Oreochromis niloticus: one gene and its partner. The protein of the gene in region 1 purifies or fractionates together with the protein of each later gene. This does not show direct contact. Links are inferred from orthologs where the notes say so. Each region holds a gene or a part of one and is shown on either strand. Other genes may lie near its edges. The genes, in order: ppp2r2aa and cdca4.

Region 1 (11,524 bases):
ACATGTCACTGTGTTGTTTGTTTGGGCTTTCTGCTCCACACCAGTACGTCCCGCTGTCGTTTGCAGTTACTTCTCTCACTGTTATGCTGATGTTTGTCTGCGTTTTGTTGTCATTCATGGAAAACCTCTCGTTCTTGCTTGTGTTGTTGGTATTAGCAAGAGTTTGACATGCAGATGGGTCGTCCCCCTTACAGATAAATTTTGTAAGTGACTGCTCACTCTGGGTGTAGTTACACAAGAATGTGAAGTTTTTTCCAACAGTTTCTGATTTTGTAAAGCCACTAATACCTATAGAAAACAGAGATTTGCCAACATGTTTAAATGTAGAACTTAAAACTCAGAAAATGAAGTTGTGGAGTACTCACTTTTAACTTCCAGCCTTATTTTTTTTAGTGCATAGCTATTAGATAATTTTACTCCGCACCAGTAGACACCCTTATCCTGTAGGGACACATTACTGATGGACACGTTAAAGCCCTGGCTGTTGTTTGTGAATGTCCATTTTTGATGAAATTGTGGTGGTAAAATATCCTCACAGATGGAATTATTATCTTTGCAGAAAAACATCTCCCTGGACTTGTTTTCTTCTCTTGGATAATCACATCTGATGGTGACTTTAGCAGTAATGTACCCAGTTTGATTAAATGGTTTTATGCAGTCTGATTTCACTGCGAATAAATATACAGATGAAACAAAATCAAACAGTGTAATATTTTTACAGTAAAGTGTGTATGTGTATTAGTACTCTGTTAAAATTTTCTTTTAAAATTGCATCTTAAATTTAAGAAATTACATTTGTAATTAGTAAAATTTGTAACATTTTGTGATTATGAAAAGTCTTAAAAGGGAAAACGGCAAATAACAGCAAACAGTAAATAAAGTAGAAAATTGGAACCAAACTTTATGACTCTACTGACTGATCAAGCTGTGGATCGTGGACAAGCTGTCAGGCCATCACACTGATAACACAGAGAGGCAGACAACCATTCACAGTGGCCAAAGGGAAATTGGCAGTTAACCTAACACGAATGTCTTTGGGACATTTGGGAGGAAGCTGGATTATGTGGCGAGAAGCCAAGCCCCCAGCTTGCAGATTTAAACCCAAGACCCCATTGCGTTGAGGTAACAGTGCAAACCACTGCACCACCATGTTGCATAGAAAATACTGCATATAACATTTTTTTTTACCTTGATTGAAGCCATAAAAAGTCACAACAAAAACTAACAAAATGAAGCCAAAATGAATTCATCAATTAATAAACAAACGAAAAACATGTCTTACCAAGTTTCTGTTCATCACAATGTTTTTCCGTTTTGTTTTTGTTCTCATTCATAGGTTTCCTGGTGATCACTGTGAGAATGCAGTTTGTATGATTTCCATAAGCCATTTGACAGTTTGCCTTTGTTTCAGTGTTGTTGAAGGGGACGTGAACCCAACCTCCTGTGCAGTTCTTTCTATCTGACATCAACTCACAACCTGAAGACAAATATTCAAATTATGTTGGTCATTTAACAAAACAAATAAGCAAATTAATTTATCAATTAGGTGCACAGTTCTTCATGCAACAGTCTTGAGATACTTTATTAGCAGAGCATGCTGTAAACATTGCTGTTTTTATTTTTACTATATAGGCATGATGCTGTGACCAGTTAGTATTTTTGTTATGATTCAAAGTGTCACTACTGCAAAAGCGAACTTCTGCTTCAATATATAATGTTACAATTAATTAATATACCATTAAATCATGTTTATTATTATTATTATTGTTGTTGTTGTTGTTGTTTTTCACAGTTGCTAACAAAATATGCAGTACATGTGAAAAAACTGCTTCCAGATTTCTAAGGTTTTGTTTTGTTTGTTTGTTTTTGCATGGATTGGTTTAGTCATGTTTTCATTTCTCCTTCCTCTTGTCTCACCAAGTCCACAGTTCATGGACTTAAACTACAGTGCTTACTTAAAAAGCTTTATTAGACCACCACCCATTGGTGGTGGTGGTTTTATAACACGGCTACCCTAAACTTACAGCATTGGTAATTACCAAAGTAATGTTTTATGCTTCTGGTTAATCTGTGAGCTCTGTAATCAAAATCATATTTTTAATGTTAAAATATAATTTTTCTTGTTATACGTGAGTTTATAAATTTTATGTTTTACTATAAAGCAACAACAAAAAAGTAAATCACATCCAAAATTAGCCAATAAAAACCAATTTCAGTAGTAATTGTCATGCTTGTGCCAGCTCAAATTTCAGTATAAAAACTTGAATTCAGTTTGTTAGCTAATAAATAACAACAAGTTTTTAACAGATTTCTAAAATGTTTGTGTTTTCTTGTTTTTAGTGGCAGGTGCCCTGCATACGGGCAGAAGTAAGTCCCACTGTTGTAGGTGTGTAAAATCAAGCACGTAGGCATGCAGACTACAAAGGTTTGTAAAAGAATGGGTCTCTGTATTCAAATAAGGCACTGTAATAGGATGCTACTGTAAATTTATGAAGTTTCATAGTTAATGAAACTTTTTCCTTCTTAGATATTCACAACAACTGTAAATGGTATGATTGCTCATACAGTTTTAAAGCAGAGTCACTGTTTGCTGAGCCACTAAGTCAATGAAAGTTTCCAACACTGTATTAACTCAATAAATGAGGAGTTCCAGACCTCTTCTAGCATTAACATCTGCACAAAAACTGTGCACTGAGAGCTTCATGGCATGGGTTTGGCAGAGCAGCTCCTGTGGGTGTAATATGAGGGTGGCCTAATATTTTTATCCATATAGCTTAGGTCTCATAAGCTGTCAGTCCTTATCTCTTCTGACTGGCATTATTAATCCCTGTGTCACTGTAAAAAATGAGTTTTTAGAGAGTGAGGGCCTTTTTAGACCTGTTTCACGGTCATTGATGTCATGGTGGAAAATACGACATGGCATTTGATTTAATCCTACCATAAACACATTAGTGAAACTTTAAAGTAATGTGAATAATCATGATCATCTGTCATAATGTAATGTTCTTTAAAACAGAAAGAAAAGTCATGGGTAACATTGTAGTAACATTCAATATTAGAAGAGTGAAAATGGCTCTTGGCTTTTAAAATCTGTGAGAATTCGGTAACAGCAAAGATGGGGCAGAGGTACAATTTTAAGAAAAAAAATAGACTTTTATTGATATACAGTGTCGTAAAAGCCTAAGCAGCAAACGGTGTGGAAATTAGCTGCGGCCAGAAGTCCTATATGATTGCATCTGTTGCATTTAGCTTAAATGCGACAATGTTAATATGTACAGTCCCTGTTGTGTAAATATATGAAGTACAAAATACATAGTGTAATACCTATTTTAATCATATTTAACATTATTTACAGTATAATGATTTGTGAATAATATCAATTAGGAGTTGGTCATAGTCTTTTTACCTGTCATCGTTGAGAAGATGAGTAGTAGCAGTGATGTCATCATGTTGGTTTAGTCGCTTCTTTAAGATCTTTAAGTGGAAATTATAAACCTGCAGTTAGTTTGCTTTTGTTAGCCTGTCCTGCCTATCTGTGGGTCTCTGGTGATTCTTGATTTTTTTTGTCCATCCCATCTTATGTTACTGAAAAATGAACTTGCCCCGCATTTCTGACCACAAATCCCCTCCCCATTTCTTTAAGGTTAGTTTCTTTATCATACTTACATCACCTTTTGCAGTAGAGAGGAAGCAAGCGGTTTATGTGAGTGTCAGAATGAAAATAACACTGAATAGGAAGTCAGAGTCTAACAGATATATTTATTTGATAATATAATAGAAAAATACTTATAAAGAGAAGAGTCTCTTTAATCTGCACAGTTCCTTAATTGCAAATTGAAACTGGACTGCTCAGCGCAAAAATGTTGAAATCCAAGAAAATGATCTGAATTCTTCTATGCTTTTTTGTACATTTGATGCATTTTGGATAGAGATGGTTATATATATTTAAAAAGTTTGCTTTGGCCCACTGACTGTTGAGTGGAGATTCTTCTCTGTTGGTCTGGGTGGTTGAGTGACAGTTGGTTTGGTTGGACAGTCATCTGACCGCTTTTTAACTGAAGAAATACGTTCCTAACATGGTTGCTGGGGAAGTATAAATCAGTATGCCTTATTATACTATACAGTGTATACAGAAAAATTTCCACACTGGCTTCTTTGATGTGCTTTGCTGCAGTGTCAGCTCCTGTGTTGTTTGAACATGAAAATTCTGGCAAAAGGGAGCGAGCAAACAAGCATATTAGCATTCAGTAGCATTTGTGTGATTGGTAGTTTGGTTTTATTTGATCTTATTTAATAGACATTTACCAGATATGACGGAGATTTAACAAATGTGACCAGGAAATCTGAAAAACATTTATATTCACATGCATCATGCACTATATCTGTGACACTTTAGATATCAGTAAGACTGAAGAATGATACTTTGGTACAATAGTATCAGACAATATTTGACACTGAGTGGGTATGTATTCTTACTGCATTTATTCCTTTTAGATTACTCAAATGTACTAAGGTGTCACTGTGGCTTAAGGTTCATGATTTCGACCATGAGCTAAAACCTAAATCTTTGCCTTAGATCTATATACATTCAAAATAGTGTTGAGAGAATCTCATACAGGTTGCAGCAGGCCTCTTTTTAGGAAGTATTCTTTGATGTGTCATTCAAAAAAAAGAAAAGAAAAAAAAAGAGCACAGGTATAACTGGTAATTTAGATGGCTGCCATCCATCTAGGTGAACTGGTTTGAATAAAAGGCAGTAAACACGCTGAATCACCTTCATTGCATAGCCAGTTGATAGAGCTGAGTCATTGTCAATGAAAATCTGTTTTAACTTTGTTTTTCTGGCTATGACAAGTCACTTTTTTCTGGTATAAACACTCTCAACTGTTCATGTGCCAAAGAGTTACCAGGAAACGAAGGGAGGCATTGATAACATCATACACCTGAGCTTTTCCTTCGCTAATAACTGTAAAACTAACTTCCTCACAGGGCCCTAGTAGGTGAGATTAATTTTACTTGGAAGAAACGTTTTTTCTAGTTACGCTTACATTGACGCATAAGGCTCTGAGGCTGAACTCTCAGAGACATCCTGCTGAACAAAGATGTCAGATGCATCTACTGCAATTATTACTCAGTTTATTTCCCATTCAGTTGTAGTTTAACTCAGTGGAATCAGTGGGTCATGCAATGACTACATTTAATAGGCAGTAAACAAGATAGTAACTCATAAAATCCACCCAATGTGAAATAACTTTTGTGGACATTAAAACAAATTAAAAACCCCTCTAAAATTTATTAAGAAATCTGAATTTCTGTTTTAAACTTGGAGCTTTCGGACTCCACTTTCTAAATTCAGCATGCGTCCGGGGTTAGTTCGATTTTCTTCACTGAAACAATGCACATGGGCGGGGTCTAGCAGTTATACGGGGTTTTATATTTTAAAAACCTGCTTATTACCCTTTTTATGAATTTAAAGCGCAGTAAATCAAGTGACCTCGCGGTCTCCGCAGACAGGAAGATGACCAACGTCTCTGAGGGGTAGGTTTAAAATTTCGCGGCGCACCCTCTCACCGCTCCCTGTTGACTGCTGAACGCCGCCCGCGTTTCGCCATTTTGAAAGTGCTGTAAAGAGGCAGAGGCGAGGGAACTCTCAAAGTAGAGTGCAAAGTCTACAAGCCAATAGTAGGCATTATTAATTACTTTGTGTAAAACAGTTCCGTGGTGCATAGCAGGGCCGAGGACTTTTGCTTACGTTCTTCAGAGTACCAAGCAGCACTCCCGGCTTCATTCCTGCACTGCTCCTCGCTAGAACCTCCCAGCCGACCCGGGTCAGCACTGTTCCAGTCCAGGGCCCGAGCCCGCTTAGATACCCCTCTACGAGTCGCTCACCATGGCAGGTAAAATCACAGGGGAAAAGACTACCACAGTGGCTGGGGTTATTAATTAACAGGTGCTGACCTGTTTGACAACGATGATGGGTTTCTCTGTTATGTCATGTTTAACCAGCGCAAGCTAGCTAGCGAGCTAGGATAATTCAAAGATGCCAGTGTAAGTCAGTGTTAGTGTTAAAGTGAGCGGTATTCTCCACAAACACACGTAAAGTAGTTATCTGTGCCTATGAGTTTATAGCAGCAGTTGCAACGCACAGTTACTGTGAATTTCCTTAAGGCCTCGTTGTCATATTGATGTTTTTAGCTAAGTTAGCTGCAGGCTAACGCGTGTAAAGTTGTCCCTCTTTAATGGTGGTGTGTCCAATCTTGGGGTCATGTTGTGTGCAGGGCCTGGTGGTGGGAGCAATGATGTGCAGTGGTGCTTCTCCCAAGTCAAAGGAGCAATAGATGACGACGTCGCTGAAGGTAAGTCCATGTGATAGTCACTGAACATTTGCTAGCCTGAGCTGCCAGGATCACCATCCTGTGCACGCTTGTTTTAGGCTTTTCTTCAAAGTGCTGCTGCCACACTTTATATTTGTGGTATTTCTAAATATGCAATGAAAAGTAATGCCTTCTTTTTTAGAGTAATAATGGGTATAAGGGATCAGTGGTGTGGTATTGTAGTCCATTTGGTTTCTCACAGACTGACAACAGTCTTCTATTTTTGGCATAATTGTGCTAAATGGCATTCACTATTTTCTCCGTTCACCCTGGGTATTAGAGGGGTATTACACAATGTTTACATGATTGGGAGAGAACTGCATGTTAGAATTGAAAAAGATTTTACCTCAGCCAGACAAGAATCTTTAATAGGCGTTTCATATTTGTTAACGAAGCAGCACTTACATTTGACTAATTACAGATCTGTTTGAGTGGCCAAGTTAAAAGAAAACCTTTATCAGCTAATTATTTCCGAACTAAAGGAAAACTCAAAGCACCAAAAGTGTGTTTACAGTACATGGTGGCCATATTTATGTATAAAGGGCTACCCATTTGTTTACAGTAAGCTTTGTCTGGGAACATGTATAAATGAGAGCCTCTCCTTGTGTCAATACATAGGAGTACATGGGCTCAAAACACAACACTCCAGTAACGCTTTTATTAGTTTCCTGTAAAAAAGGATTCGCCTTCAGTCTGTCTGCTATTGTTTTATGGGGTTGCATGGAGTCGGGTCGTATCAGGCGCACACTGTCGATGTTAACGACTGCACTATAGTAGTGCCAGTGTGTAAGTGGGGATTGATTGTTGTATTGTAGGACTTGGTGAGAATGGTTGTCTTTGAAAAGTGCTAAATCTGAAGCTGAGGATGGAAACTTTTTTTCTGTTCTTTTTTCCTTTGTGTCCTAAGATTGTTGAGTGTACGTTTAGTTTCACCAGATCACAGCTCCGTCGAGTGTGTGTGTATAAATATGTGTGCGTCATTGCTGTGTTGTGTTTTCACCATGGTTGACATGATTTTCACCCCTCACAGGTGGGCTGCTGAGGCATTTTGTAAACCACTTCCCATTGAAAGGCAGTGAATCATTTAGAGAGCAATTCGATTTACAATAATTAGATTGACAATAGCCTTCATCAGAAACTCTGACAAACAATGTATGGTTATTTATATTTGATGCTAGTCTCATTTTTGCAATTTTTATTATTGACAGCTGATATCATATCCACTGTTGAATTTAACCAATCTGGAGAGTTACTTGCAACTGGGGACAAGGGAGGTCGTGTTGTCATCTTTCAGCAGGAGCAAGAGGTATGTTTTAGTGACACATAGAAACAGTACATATTTTTAACATTTGATTCATAATACTCTGGAGCAGGTAGGTCATCAAACTCAGTTTATATAACACAAAGACGTACAGGTAAAAGTACAATGTTTCTTGTGATCTTGACCCGAGACATTGAATCTTGGTTTCATAACGCTTGAACTTTTGTTTGATCTGTTTTGTATTTAGAGTAAGAATAAGCTTCAGTGCCGCGGAGAGTACAATGTTTACAGCACCTTCCAGAGCCACGAGCCTGAGTTTGACTACCTGAAAAGTCTTGAGATTGAGGAGAAGATCAACAAGATTCGATGGTTGCCTCAGAAGAATGCAGCACATTTTCTTTTGTCAACAAATGGTTTGTAAATTACTTTCTTTTGAGTAAATTATTGTGCTGTAGTAAATGTGAACTTTTGTTACGCCATCTACTGCCTTATATGGGAGTAAATATAACTCAATGACTCTCATGGTCTTTGCTCTTTCTCATTGGCAGACAAAACCATAAAGCTGTGGAAAATTAGTGAGCGTGACAAAAGACCAGAGGGCTACAATTTGAAGGAAGAAGATGGGCGATACAGAGATCCCAACACTGTCACTACACTACGGGTGTGTAGAACTGGCTTTATTACAGTCCAGATCTTTTCTTTGGTTTGACATTGTTAGCCAAAACTGAGATGCTTTGCTTACTTTCCATTCATTTATGAGTAGATCAAGAAAATGAACAGCAAATTTAATATGTTGAGTCTGGTTAGTAATTTACATCTGAATTAGTTGGAATAAATGTTAATCGTTTCTTTCCCGTGTTTCCTTCCACTCATTACAAAACTGTTTGTTCTATTTTTGATTGAGACGTTGACTTATCTTATGAGCAAGTAAACAGATGGAACTAATAAAATTACCAATCTGTTCCTGCAATTACTGCAGTGCTGCAGTTGATGTAATGTCTGCTTTATTCACCTTTAATTTTGACAGACCCCCCCCCCCCCCCTTTTTTTTTCTTCTTGTGGTTGCTGAACAGTTTCCAAATATAGACTCTGTTCAACAGGTTTGCGTTTATACTGAGGCAATGCCTTTATTTCTTTGTTTAAAGGGCAAGTAACTGTCCCCATCTTAAAAATGGGTAAATCTATGTACATTTTGACCTACATCTTTGTGCCTCTTTACCAGGGTAAGAAAAATAATTTGGACACTTTTTAATCTTTTTTTTTTCTTTTTGTAGTGTGAAATTCCTTTTTTTTTTTAAAACATGCCTGTGTACATATATTTAAAATCAAGGTCAAAAAATCTACTGCATCTCCCATTAAAGAAATGTAAAAACAGCCCCACTTTTGCTTTCAGGTACCAGTATTCAGGCCCATGGACTTGATGGTGGAAGCCAGCCCTAGACGAGTGTTTGCCAACGCGCACACATACCACATCAACTCCATCTCGGTCAACAGCGATTGTGAGACCTACTTGTCTGCTGATGACCTGCGCGTTAACCTCTGGCATCTGGAGATCACTGATCGCAGCTTTAGTATCCTTTCATTCTTTAATTCCATAAAGTACTGCAATAATATAAAATTATTCTGTCAGTGTTTTGTCTTATTTATTCCCAGTTTATCCTTTTTCAAAGGAGCGTAAGCCAGGGAGAGTACTTTAAAAAAAAAAAAAAATGTATGTGAATGTTATGTGAAATAATGAATGATATATTGTGGTTAGTTTTAAGCCTTTCTTTGAAGAGATGCCTGACTTATTAATCCTGTTCACCTGCTCACCCCGTATCAGTCAAATTAGACAAAGACTATGTATTACTTAGCAACAAATAAAACATGATTCATGTATTTTTGTAGGCCATATAAACAATTCTTTGCCTGATATTTAAAAATGTACACACTGTGTCTACAGGCAGACTGGACAAGGGTAAAAAATTATCTTCACTGGTGTCTATTTAATCTGTAGCACAGTGTCATTATTTATACTACCACCAGATGTCCCCAAAGCGTGGGATGTTTAACTGGGTGCCTTGAACGTAGTCTAAAATAATCACCTCCTACATCTTATGTTAATAATTTCACCCCATGAGTTCTTACTGCGTTGTTTTATGTAGGCTGTATAAACAAAGATGAACCAGAGTTAGATACAAAGTGTAATCACGTTTTTCTTGAATTGACATTTGTTGCTCGTTCTGGACGCTCATATCTTCTCTTCATGCCGGAAGATCGATGCAGTGCAACTCTTGCCTTTTATTAAGGATTGCCTCAACTGATGTAAAACACTTGAACTGGGGAAAGAATGAATGCAAACTAAAATATGTTAAATGGTTTTATCACTGTAGGATCATGAGGTCAGAGGTCATCTGTGAGATTAATGTAGCTGTTAAAAGTTGAAAACACATGAGCATGAAATGGAAAGTATTCACAAGTGAATACATGATTTGGGGCACTTTTGTCCTAGTCACCAGATATCTGTGACAAAACTTTTTCCATGTGCCAGTCACTGTTTAAAATGAAATGCAGATAGTTTTAAAAAAGATAAATCATAGTGAATTTGATAATGGTCTGTGATAGTGGCAATAGCAGTTTTTCTTTTAATCTGCGCACAGACTGTTTACCTGCAAGCAGTAAAGCCTGCTTTAATGGGGTCTTCAAACTGATAACACGACACTATGAATAATAATGATGATAATAATAATAATAATACAAATTCATTTTATTTCTGAAAGATTTTTCTTCAAGTTGCTGAAATGTCTGTTCAGGGTTTTGTTTGTTTTTTACCTTAACCTCAACTCTTCAGATATTGTTGACATTAAGCCGGCCAATATGGAAGATTTAACAGAGGTGATCACAGCGGCCGAGTTCCACCCCAACCAATGCAACACTTTTGTCTACAGCAGCAGCAAGGGCACGATCCGCCTGTGTGACATGAGGGCAGCAGCGCTATGTGACAGCCACGCCAAACGTAAGTCAGTCCCTTTTTGTGTTTCTGTAACTGTTTGACTGTGTGTCTCCTCAACGATCGATGGGGGGCTCTCATTGTGCCTATCAGTGTAACACTCGATTAATCAGCTGCAATTATAAAGTTACTCTTGCCATGGACGGTGGCTGACTAGACTAGTGCAATGTGCTTGAACAAAGCTGACGGTTTGTTGAGAAGAAGACTTGACAAGTGAAAAGTTGCACAGTTGTGAGAGCCCTTTCTTAAGGGGAACCAACAGGAAACAAAGCTGACTTATATGTTGAAATTTAATGCGTTCAGTGTTTAAGTAAAAGAAAAACCACAGGCATAAGGAGCTGTTGGTTTGGATTTTCATAACTTTTTAAAGTGGGGAGTGAGTACACACAGCAGGGTAGGTCTTTGCACTGACTACATTATCCTCCAGATACACTGCCTGAAGGCTTAAAAATGAACACGTACATAAAATTTGTGGTTTTGTCATTCATCAAGTTGTTGTTTTTTTTTTTAAATGTTGTTTTCTGAAAATATTTTCTTCAATTTTGTAACAAAAAAGAAATTGAACAACAAATTACTTCTCCAATTCCATACAATTCACATGGTAACATAAAATTCACAAATTCACCTAAGAAATAGAAGATCAATTTTTTTTCTTTTTATATCTACCAGTGTCACCTCACAGCACAAACTGTGGGAAGTTTGCATGTTCTTTTTGCGCCTGTGTGACATTGTTTTCGGTTTTGGATAAGCTTATTTTTATCCAGTAATAGTTTACACATTTCTTCTTCTTTGGCGTCTTTTAATCTCCTCAACCTGTAGCAAAACATGATACAACAATAAGCTTCCTCCCTAAATTACATGTCGCAGTTTCTGTAAATGTTTCTTTTTTGTAAAGGATGA
Region 2 (10,750 bases), on another chromosome or scaffold:
CTCTGCATGCCTGTCAGCACCGTATCGAGGTCATAGTAAGACGGGTCCACGTCTGAAAACAGTTCCTCGAGCGCAGGGTCAGGGGGCGGCGCTGGGTGCTTGATCTCAAAAGTGCCAAAAACCTGCTCCCCTGTCCTGGAGTCTGCACTTAGGTGGTCCCCGTCTCCCTCCTCTCCCTCTGATACGCACTCCTCGCTGTCCTCCTCTTCTTCCTCCTCGCACTCACCATCTTCCTCTTCCTCCTCCCAGCAGGGCCCCATGCCAAAGGGACCTGCGAGGTAAGAAGCCGAGGACAGCTGAGGGGAGACGGGTGACAAAGTAGACATGGTGACATCCGTCTCCACATCTCCCTCCATGACCACTTCTTCAGAGTGGTAGCCTTCCTCCACACCGACCACTGAGTAAGGCTTTGGGCTCTGCCCTGCCTGGGCTGCTGCATCAGTCTGTCGGCACAGCACTTCAGTGGCCACCAGGCGGTCGGTGGGACACTGGGCGGCTGCGAGGGCCTGCGTCATTATCTGCCAGGTGCCATCCTGGGTCATTTCCTCCTGGATCTGCCGCACCGTGTTGGCAATTAGAACTGAACGGCACAGGTTCGGCTCTACCAGCATGTGACAAAGTTGCAGCTTGATGAGCGACATGTCAAGCAGCGACTGCCGCTGCAGACTGTAAGAGGAAGACAGCGTCCGAGCTGCCACCGAAGGAGATGCGGGGCCCTGGTCGCCACTGGAGACGGCCTCCTCCCCAGAGTCTGAGAACTTGCGCTTGGTGCCCTTCGGGAACATGTTGTCTCTCTTTTGTGATGGCAAGGAGACAAAAAAAGAAAAAAAATCAGTGAGAAACAATGGCACCACTTGCTTAAATATTAAGAAATGTGCCACACAGACAAACACAAAATTTGTACTGCTGTCATTTTCACTAGCTAAAATAGTTACAAAGATTAAGTGCCATGTAATTAATTATGTAAATGTGTGATGTTATGAGGCTATGTGGTGTAACATTTGTGTGGACATGAGGGAGCTAGGGCTACAATCTGCTGAACTGCAGCTGTGACTTTACAAATAAACTACAGGCTTACTCTACAGTAAACAAATAATTGTTGTAGTTTTTTTCTTAAAGTTTGCTATACCTTTCCTGTTGAGAGGCACAGGCAATAGCAATGCAGCTTGGTCCCGGCTGCAACGCTTCAAGTACTTTTGTACGAGCGACAAGCAGCTTTTGTTCAGCACCATTTCTGCCCATTTTAGGCCAGTCTGAGGCAAGACTCCTGCTGGGCGGAACAACCACACTTTTAACAGACCACTGAGCCACCGAAAATAGCATGGTTACCGACTAAATGCGGACACTGCATCAAAGTAAGCACAGACTACAGAGACCTCTGTCAGAAAACAAAAACAGCACTCAAGTTAATTAGTGCATTTATTTTCTTTCCCCCACTGCCACCTGTGATCAAGAAAATCAAAAAGATATCCTAATCAATAAGGGTGCTTTCAAGGGGGTAAAAGTGACAAGGATATGGAAAGTAACAGCATTTACAATTCACAGTACAATGTACCACCATGAGCCACTAATATTTACAAGGGATATCAGGTTTCCAGGTCTACGCACGCGACGCTTCAAAAACTAGCAGAACAAGATTTTCACTTTCTCTTCACTGAGGAGGGGAAGAAAAGCACAGTCAACTTCCTCATTAAATACCACTTCAACACACACATGTCTTACAGAAACAAAACAATACTCCCGCTAATGTTAAAGGCCCCTCTGACTCCCAAAAATAAATGGGATGCAAGTGAATAGGAGACTGAGCTCCAAACAGCAGCCTGTGGCATTTAATTTTCCATCAGACAGAAAAACAGTATGCACAGTGTCCGGCTGTCTCCTCTGTGTTAAACCTGTGGGCAGGGCATTTGGGTCAATGATTCCAGTTGCTTCAAATTTCTATTTGTGATAGACATTTTAAAAAGGGGAAAAAAGAAAACACAAAATTTTTTAAAATCAGTACAATGAAAAACAACACTGATTCATGTTTTGCGTTAGGATTCACAGGGCACAAATCACAGAGAGGGTTGGATCACTTTACAGAAATTTCCTGTTTTTCAGGAACTAGGAATCAAAAAGAAACTACCATGCCCAAGACACTGCTGTTACTGTCATAAATCATCTCCACACCAAATTTTCATTTTTATTTTAGGATGCCAGGCCAAACTAAGGCCCATAATCTGTGCAAATTACATATTTTAACATTGACACAGTGTGTAGTCACGGGTGTTGTGCAATAGCATACTGACAAAAACTAGTAAAACAAGTCAACACCTTGTGAGTTCACATTTAATAGAAAAGTATACATCTAAATAGTTGATCAATCAGATCCCCACATTTTTCAAAAGTTACAATCCATGCCAAAAGGAAAAAAAAAAAGAGAAGTGGCTCGTAAGTACAATTAAAGGCTTGGGAGCCTGGAGGTCTTTGAGTCCTCGTAATCATAGAATAACATTTCCTGACAGTGGACAGAATAAAGGGGGGAAAAGGTAATTTATGAAGATACCCGGAGATCTAAAATGAAAAGGGTGAGAAAACGATTATGGACATATGTTGTCTTCTTATGTGGTGCAATAATACTGGTCCCTGTTAAATAAGAGACACTAGAGAGAACTACCTCCTTAAAGAAAAAAAAGTAGAAAAATGAAAAAAAAGAAAAAAAAGACATTAAATAGAAACAGGAAGAACTACAACCTGAGAGACGGATCACTGCACACAGAAGAGAAAACAGTTTTGGACATGACAACTTTTTTTTTTTTTTAACATTTATACTGATAATTGTTTTCGAACACCCTATAGTTTAGCATTTTTAAAGCTTAAGGATTCTACTCTGAATTTAGAATTAGATTTCTGAAAACAATAAGAAAAACAGCAATTCATATGTAGGTCATATATAAAATAAGACTGAAAGCGAGTTATGTCCTAACCAGTCTGATCAGTCATCTGTAGCAGGCAACATACACAGTGCGTTGTGTTGTGTTTTTCCACTGTGGGACATGTAAACAACTACAATCTCATACAATCAATTCCCTAAATGTTCTTACATTTTAACCACTTAAAACACTTTCAATCAAGATAATATTGACAGATAACCTAATATGAGCACTAAATAACAACCAAACTCCTGATAATAACATCTCAATCTGCAAGTGAACATTTTTTTTAAAGATTTACTTACTTTACCAATAAGAATGTATTGATTTTAAAACCCAAAGTGATCTGCTACAGACGCTTAATTTTAATGACTGATGTCGAGATCATACTCAGTTAAATAGTATTCATTTACACCTGCACATTAGTATTGATGTATTTCAGACCATTAAACTTAGTCGCACATCTTTTTAACATGATTTCACAAAAATGCTGACATATGTGGTGTTCAAAAACTTCTAACATATCAGGAAATAAGTGCGGGGAGGGGGAGGAGGATCACCTCGTGTAAATCAGTACTTTATTCTGATGCTGACATTACAGTTGTATTTACGTCAGACAGACAGTGTCACTAAACTGGATTTAAAACAGTTTAAATACAGTTACTAAACTGAGTGTTTTCTACTATGCTAGGAAGCAGAAGCCAAACAAAATGCAGCCCCGTTTTACGTCAATGGTTCTTAGCATGGCCCATCCCCCACCACTTTCACAGCCCGCCGTACTAAATGAATAAACACATTTTTAAAAAGCACTGCTTACATTTCTCCCACTTCCCTCTTAAATACATAGCGCTACCACTGCCAGTCGCCAGATTAAAACCGCTAGAATAGCTGTAAAAAGCGACGGAGAGCTTCTGGCCGTGACTGCCGCATGCTTTTGTCTTTTCAGCATCAGAGCTACCGAGCGACAATGAGGCCATTTTGCGCTAGTAGCTAACAGTTAGCCGGCCGGCTATGCTACAGACGGAATTTACACTTCTGGGTTGCCGCTAGCTAGCATAAAATGTTCCGTGAAAAAAGATGCCTCCACGGAGGCACAAAACCCTCGGCATTCGTTTGGAAACTTCCTCTTACATAAAACGAATGCTAGCGAACGTAAAGCTAATTAGCTAAAAGCGCCCACCCACCCACAGTCCGCGGTCCTTCCTCCTTTCTAGCCAAAAACAAGAGTTTTCGCCACGGCGGAGCTGTTAAGTTCCCCAAAAACAACACACGGTCACCCGGGTGGCTAGTTAAAAACACTATCGTCGGGTGCTTGAGTAGCCGTACTCACCTCGTGTTTGTGTTAATTTAATTCCCGTCTCGGTCATAGGATCGACAGCAGAGAAAGCGGAGATCAGGTTCAGATGAGATCATTCATGCCACGGCTTCAAAAACTGAACTACCTCTGTCCTGCTGCTGCTGCGGAGCGGACGACAGGAGGGGAAGGAAGGGAGGGGGAGGGGAGCCGACAAAAGCCAGCCATATGCCTGGGATTCCTCTCTAATGATTTCTCCCTGCTTTTCTCTCCTACTAATGCTTTAACAAACAAGCCAAAGCCCGCTGCTGGCTTCAAGAACAAGATGTAGAAGATCTGATGTTGTTCTGGTTACTCTTTGTGTATTGACGCTGCGTTTACCGCTGGCCTTTTTAACAAGAAAAACAATCTGTGGCGAGGGGAATTATACCCACTGAATGGAAAGTGACTAAGAAACACGAATTTACTCCGCTACGTGCCTAGTCCCTAGTATGTATGAGGTTATCGTGACATTTCGGTGTTATGCCTTTTGTTTATAGCGAATGATTTTACTTCTGATTTCACTGTCTTTATCTGACTGTTGCAACTACCAGTTTACTGAAACATATAAAAGGCTGGCTGGCGACAAACCTTTTGGCTTTTATTGTGCACGACTGATTACTTTAAGAGGTAAAATGACATAATACTCATTCAAACAAAAATAAATTTGTACGAAGTCCCTACAAGAGAATCCAATGTTGTTTAGCAAAACATCATTTTTCTATGTTTGTACTTTATTAATAATCCAATAACCTTTTTACTCACTGTATGAATTTTGAGCACTTACACTGTGGATTCACCCTCCAGTAATACTACAGTTCTACACTGACACAAATATCAAAACGCAACCCAGTTTATTAATAAATAATAAAAATAGGAAATGCTTAATAGAAAATTGTAACAAGAAACCTATTATTCTATTTATATAATATTAAAAAATAGTCTTTAACCACTCCTAATTTCTTTATATTTTCTTAGAGAAATGGGATATAGGTGACGTGATTTATTTAAAATTGTGCAAATACAAATATAGCTCGTACAACAAAAACTGAATGTGCACAATCCTAATCAACTTAGAAGTCAGTATTTGGTATGACCACCTTTATTCTTCAGCACAGCCTAAACTCTCTTAGGCAAGCTTTCTTGTGATTTCATTAATTAGGAATAGGAAGAATCAGGAATAGTTCTCCAGGCTTCTTAAAGGATATTCACAGCTCTTCTTTGGCTGTTGGCTGTTTTTTTGTTGTGTTTTCTGTAAAGATGATCCCACACTGCTTCAGCAATGTTGAGGTCCAGGCTCTGGGGAGGCCAATCCAGGACTGATAGTGTTCCACAGTGCTTTGCCACTCATTTTCATTTCAGTTATTCCGTAAATTGTCATACGTTAGCCCTTTCTTCCTGTTTCCTTCCTTAAGAATGGCTTCATGATTGTCACCCTTCCATTGAGACCGTTTCTGATGAGGCTTTGGCAAACCGTAGATGGATCAACTAAAGGGCCAGATATGTTTCTCAGGTGCTTTGTCATGTCTTTGCTGATTTTTGTTCCTATTTCTTTCAATCTGCCACTTCTTTTTTGTTTTCATCCTCCACTTGTCACTTCTTTGATATGCCATCTTTTTAGCTAAAAATGCTTTTTTTTATGCCTGTGATACTGTACGATACTATGGCATTTTACACTTAAAGCTACAATGTAAAATTGGTTAAGTGTATAGAAAACAGTGGTTGAGCCCATGAGTTAGATGGCTTTATATGTCTGAATTGTCAATTTTCTTGTCAATTAATAAGTCCGGTGTTAAGCACCTTAAAAGGCAATAAAACATTCTTCTGAAAATAGTCAGATACAAGGAACGGACTGAAAATGAAAGAAAAATTTGCTTCAGAAAGTCAGAAGAACTATTGCTCAAGACCAGTTTATAAAAATAACAAGAATGTCTGGCTTCTTGGAAGTGAAATGAGGGGTGGCTCAATACTGTTGCACAGTACCGTATTTATTTTATTTTTTTTTACATGAAATAATTGTTCTTTTTTAATTTGATGGCACCGAAAAAAGCTGTGAAACAGCCATTAAAGGCACCTGGTGGAACATCTCTTTACACTAATTGGGTTTGTTGGCAGCAGGTCAGTAACACGACTGGGTTTAAAAACACTGCCACACATGCAGACTGAGCCTCTGGTAGTTGTGATCAGAACTAACACACCACATTTTGGGTAATAGTGCGTGGATCTTACCCAGTGAGCTGTAAGCATGGTTTATACATGTTATGTGTGTTGAGACCGCAATAATAAAACCATTTTGCTCAACCCCGAACAGTTACTCTGCTTTATTTTGAATGTCACTGGTCCATTATGAGTCAAATTTGAATAAAGCCTTTGAATAAAGTTCAAATGGTGTTAACTGTTTTTAGATAATATAACAGAAACCATAGTTTTACACTTAATACATGGCAAAAAAGGTATATACTTGTTGAGTCACTGTATGCTCTGTTTTCACCAAGTCAAACAAACAAAATGCGTCTAAGCTTTTTCCTTTTGGTGGTGAAAAGGACTTGCTTTTGCTTATGCTCGTATTTTCTTAAAATGCTGAAGAAATCATTCTGGCGAGGTAACAAAAAGTCAGCTGGTTTCAGTAGCTGATAGAACCGCTTTTAACCCTTTATAGTTTGGTCTAACTTAACTCGGTGTGTCATTTTTTCTTATTTTCACCTTTTTCTGTCTTGTTTATGTGGACAGACACTTAAAAGAAATGTCTTTGGTAATATATTGTATTGATAACCTGTGGAAATATTCTCATTCACTGGAAATTTTAATGCAATGACAGACAGATTCAAAGAACACTGAGTTTTATACTTTCCCTGTGTACTAAAGAAATCAGAGATCTGATTACAAATCCATACTAAGGCCAGAAAAAGACAATAAAGTCAAGTTCAAATATGATCCCATGTGATTTTCCATCTCAATAGAGATCACTTTGATAAGTAAACTGCATGAACAGTCTTTTAGAATTGTGTATTTTGCTCATTGATGGTTGTTTTTTAAGCTTCTAAACTGCAGGTTTAATAAGAAGTTAAACTGCACTTTGTTTATATCTTCCCAAATCAGTAGCAGCCACCTTTGGAGGCTTTTCATTAGTGTTTTTTATAAGACTCTTTAAATCTGATTGGTGTAATTACCAGTAATTATCATCGCTAATGATGCTTATTACCTCTGCCTCTGGATGTTTTCATTTGCAGCAATGGTTATTAGCTTATCTATGTGCCTGTTACCAGAACCTACACAGACTTTAAATCCTCGAGGCTCCAACATCTAGCTACTGATCTGTAACCTCATTGGAACAATTATTAGACTTGACACAAAAAACAGAAGGTGGGGCTACTTTTTGGATAAGACGGATAATAAGAGTTAATTTGACTTATTAGAGGATATAAGTTACGTACCAAACGCCAACTTTAGCAAGGTACACCTTGCTAGCCCCAGGTTAGCCCCCTTTTGCTATAAAAACTGTTTTAATTCTTCGTGGCACTAATTCAAAATGGTGCTGGAAAATTTCCTCTGAGATTTTGGTGCATATTGACGGGACAGTATCACATAGTTGCTGTTCATTTATCGGCTGCGTGTCACCACAACCACCTCTCAAAGGTGCCCTATTGGATTTGGTCACTGTGGAAGCCGTTTGAGTACAGTGAACTCACTTTCATGTACAAAACCCCCCCCAAAAAAAACTGTTTGACATGAGTCTCCAAAAGTTGAATCTGTTCATCTGGACGTAGCGTTTTGTGGGAGAAACGTTTCGTCACTCATCCAAGTGACTTCTTCAGTCTCAGCTGACTGCAGGTTTCCCCAAACCTTATAAACAGTACATTTGCATAATGACTGAAACCAGCCCACTGAGGGAACAATGGGCTGTGAGGTCAGTTTCTTAATCATAATTATGCAAATTCCATGACCATTGATCAACAATCACTGACCAAAACCCACTGATCAAAGAACACTGATCAATGGCCATGAGTACCATTCACAGAGAGTTGGGGAATGGCTGCAATCACAGCATTGTAAGATGGTGACAGATGTACCCTTAGGCCCCCTCCTCGATTCAGAGATGGTCTTTCCCTTTTCACGTAAATGGCCTCCTTGACTCCGCGCTCAAACCGAGGAGGGGGCCTAAGGGTACATCTTTCGCCATCTTACAATGCTGTGATTGCAGCCATTCCCCAACTCTCTGTGAATGGTACTCATGGCCATTGGGGTGGGGTGGCTGTAGCTCAGGTGGTAGAGCAGGTCATCTACTGATCGGAAGGTTGGTGGTTCGATTCCTGGCTTCCCCTAGTCTGCATGCCAAATATCCTTGGGCAAGATACTAACCCCAAATTGCTCTCCGATGCATCCATCGGAGTATGAATGTGTGTGTGAATGTTACTTAGAAAGCACCTAGAAAAATGTGCTTGTGCGAATGGGTGTGAATGGGTGAATGCACAAGTTGTGTAAAGCGCTTTGAGTGCTCAGAAGAGTAGAAAAGCGCTATATAAGAACCAGTCCATTTACCATTGATCAGTGTTCTTTGATCAGTGGGTTTTGGTCAGTGATTGTTGATCAATGGTCATGGAATTTGCATAATTATGATTAAGAAACTGACCTCACAGCCCATTGTTCCTTCAGTGGGCTGGTTTCAGTCATTATGCAAATGTACTGTTTATAAGGTTTGGGGAAACCTGCAGTCAGCTGAGACTGAAGAAGTCACTTGGATGAGTGACGAAACGTTTCTCCCACAAAACGCTACGTCCAGATGAACAGATTCAACTTTTGGAGATTTACTTTCCTGGATGATTGAGAATGCATCAAGATGTTTGACATGAGTTTTGCAACATGGTTCATGATCCTGGTGGATGCTGCTGCCAGAAGCGGTCATAGAGTGAGGAACATGGTCAACAATACTCAGGTAGGCTGCGGCTTTTACATTATGCTCAGCTGATATTAAGGGGCCCAGAGTGTGCCAAGAAGTTATGCACCATGCCATTAGACCTCCAGAACCACTGATCCAAGGCAGGATGGAGCCATGCATTCATGTTGTTTCTGAATGTTGCAGCAGAAATCGAGACTCATCGGACCAGGCAGGATTTTTCCACTCTTCAATTGTGCATTGTTGATGCGCCTGTGTGAACTGTAGCACGAGTTTGCTGTTCTTGCTGCTACAGACCATCTTCTTCAAGGTTCCATGTGTCGTACTCTCAGAGATGTTCTTCTGCATACCCTGGTTGTAATTACTGGGTATTTCAGTTATTGTTGCTCTAAATATATAGAGAGAGACTTATGGAGTAGATCAACAGTTTATGAAATATTCAGTCTGTGTCTACATGCCCAAATACATTGAGTTGCTATGTGATTAGATAGCCATGTTAATGAGCAGCTGAACAGCTATACCTATTGAAATGGCCAGTGAGTGGACACCAGCCATTTCTTTTTTACTCACAGCAAAGGGAACATACATAAATAATAGCTCATGCTATACTCACTCAAACTCAAAGCGAGAATCTGCTGACATGGACTTAATCCCTCACGGTCTTCCACTCATTTTTATAATCACTGTCTAATATCACAGGTGTTTACTTCAAGATATGTAAAATGTTTAGGCCATGCCATCAGAAGTTTCACTAAGAGTTGTTTTCATAATTAATCAATTATTTTGTCCAAAAATTGCCCCATAGCTGTGAAAAATCTCCATTTTCATAAACCTGAGGGTGAGGCCTTCATTTGTCTTCCCCTTGCAAACAGACAAGAACAGACAAAAAAAAGTACATCCTTAAAAACAAAAACAAAATCAAAAAAACTGGAACATTTACAAATTTTGTGTGGTTGGTTAAAAAAAAATACTTGTAAAAGTAATTTGTATGAGTAGTTCATGTGAGCCTGGCAGAATGAAGCGCTTTCTTAAAAAAAAAATACAGTTGAAATGGAAAATAAAAACAAGGCTTTTCAAAGTCTATCTATCTGTCTATGTACTTAATCATTTACTTACTTACTTATTTTATTTTTGTAGTTCCAGAAGTCTGCATTCCTAACGCGGAACTATTCTTCAGACTTCCGGCAAGGGGGGGACATTTTTTTTACCTCCTTCCACAACGTTCCGTTTCCAGCATTTTCTGTGCTCGGCGAATAAACGCAGGAGCACCGCTTGAGAGCCCGCAGCAGCTAGAGGCTTCTAGAAACAGCGTGCGCATCGGTGGATAGTCACCGGCAGACACCTGCTCTCTGCTTTTAACCTTACACGGTTAAACGTTTCTTATTATTTAGTCAACAAAATGGCGAAGTGGGGAGAAGGAGACCCTCGTTGGATTGTAGAGGAGAGAGCTGATGCGACTAATGTCAACAATTGGCATTGGTAAGAGCTAATGAAAGGACATTGGTTTTTAGCTGTTAGCCTAATGCTAACACGACACACCGAGCTCCTGTTAGTATCAAACTGTAGTTTATATGTTTAGGTTTGGATCAAGTAAGTTTAGGTCATTATTTT

Evidence for each region.
Region 2: the proteins of ppp2r2aa (region 1) and cdca4 purify together in Homo sapiens (affinity purification with mass spectrometry; 4 studies listed by BioGRID and IntAct, with this or other methods). This does not show direct contact. The link is inferred for Oreochromis niloticus from reciprocal best matches to the Homo sapiens genes PPP2R2A and CDCA4.

What each region holds. Positions count from the first base shown.
Region 1 is NC_031977.2:12,394,856-12,406,379, reverse strand, and holds the start of ppp2r2aa (serine/threonine-protein phosphatase 2A 55 kDa regulatory subunit B alpha isoform), read left to right. Parts: upstream 1-6,265; coding exon 6,266-6,356; intron 6,357-7,582; coding exon 7,583-7,680; intron 7,681-7,882; coding exon 7,883-8,048; intron 8,049-8,183; coding exon 8,184-8,296; intron 8,297-9,028; coding exon 9,029-9,206; intron 9,207-10,465; coding exon 10,466-10,630; intron 10,631-11,524. Other genes in the region: uncharacterized protein LOC102080115, read right to left, coding at 1-288, 366-668, 1,283-1,477, 3,407-3,449. UniProt on the Homo sapiens protein: Substrate-recognition subunit of protein phosphatase 2A (PP2A) that plays a key role in cell cycle by controlling mitosis entry and exit. Involved in chromosome clustering during late mitosis by mediating dephosphorylation of MKI67.
Region 2 is NC_031983.2:6,917,160-6,927,909, forward strand, and holds the start of cdca4 (cell division cycle-associated protein 4), read right to left. Parts: upstream 4,586-10,750; 5' UTR 4,243-4,585; intron 1,271-4,242; 5' UTR 1,130-1,270; intron 795-1,129; 5' UTR 786-794; coding exon 1-785. Other genes in the region: ahsa1a (activator of 90 kDa heat shock protein ATPase homolog 1), read left to right, coding at 10,539-10,618. UniProt on the Homo sapiens protein: May participate in the regulation of cell proliferation through the E2F/RB pathway. May be involved in molecular regulation of hematopoietic stem cells and progenitor cell lineage commitment and differentiation.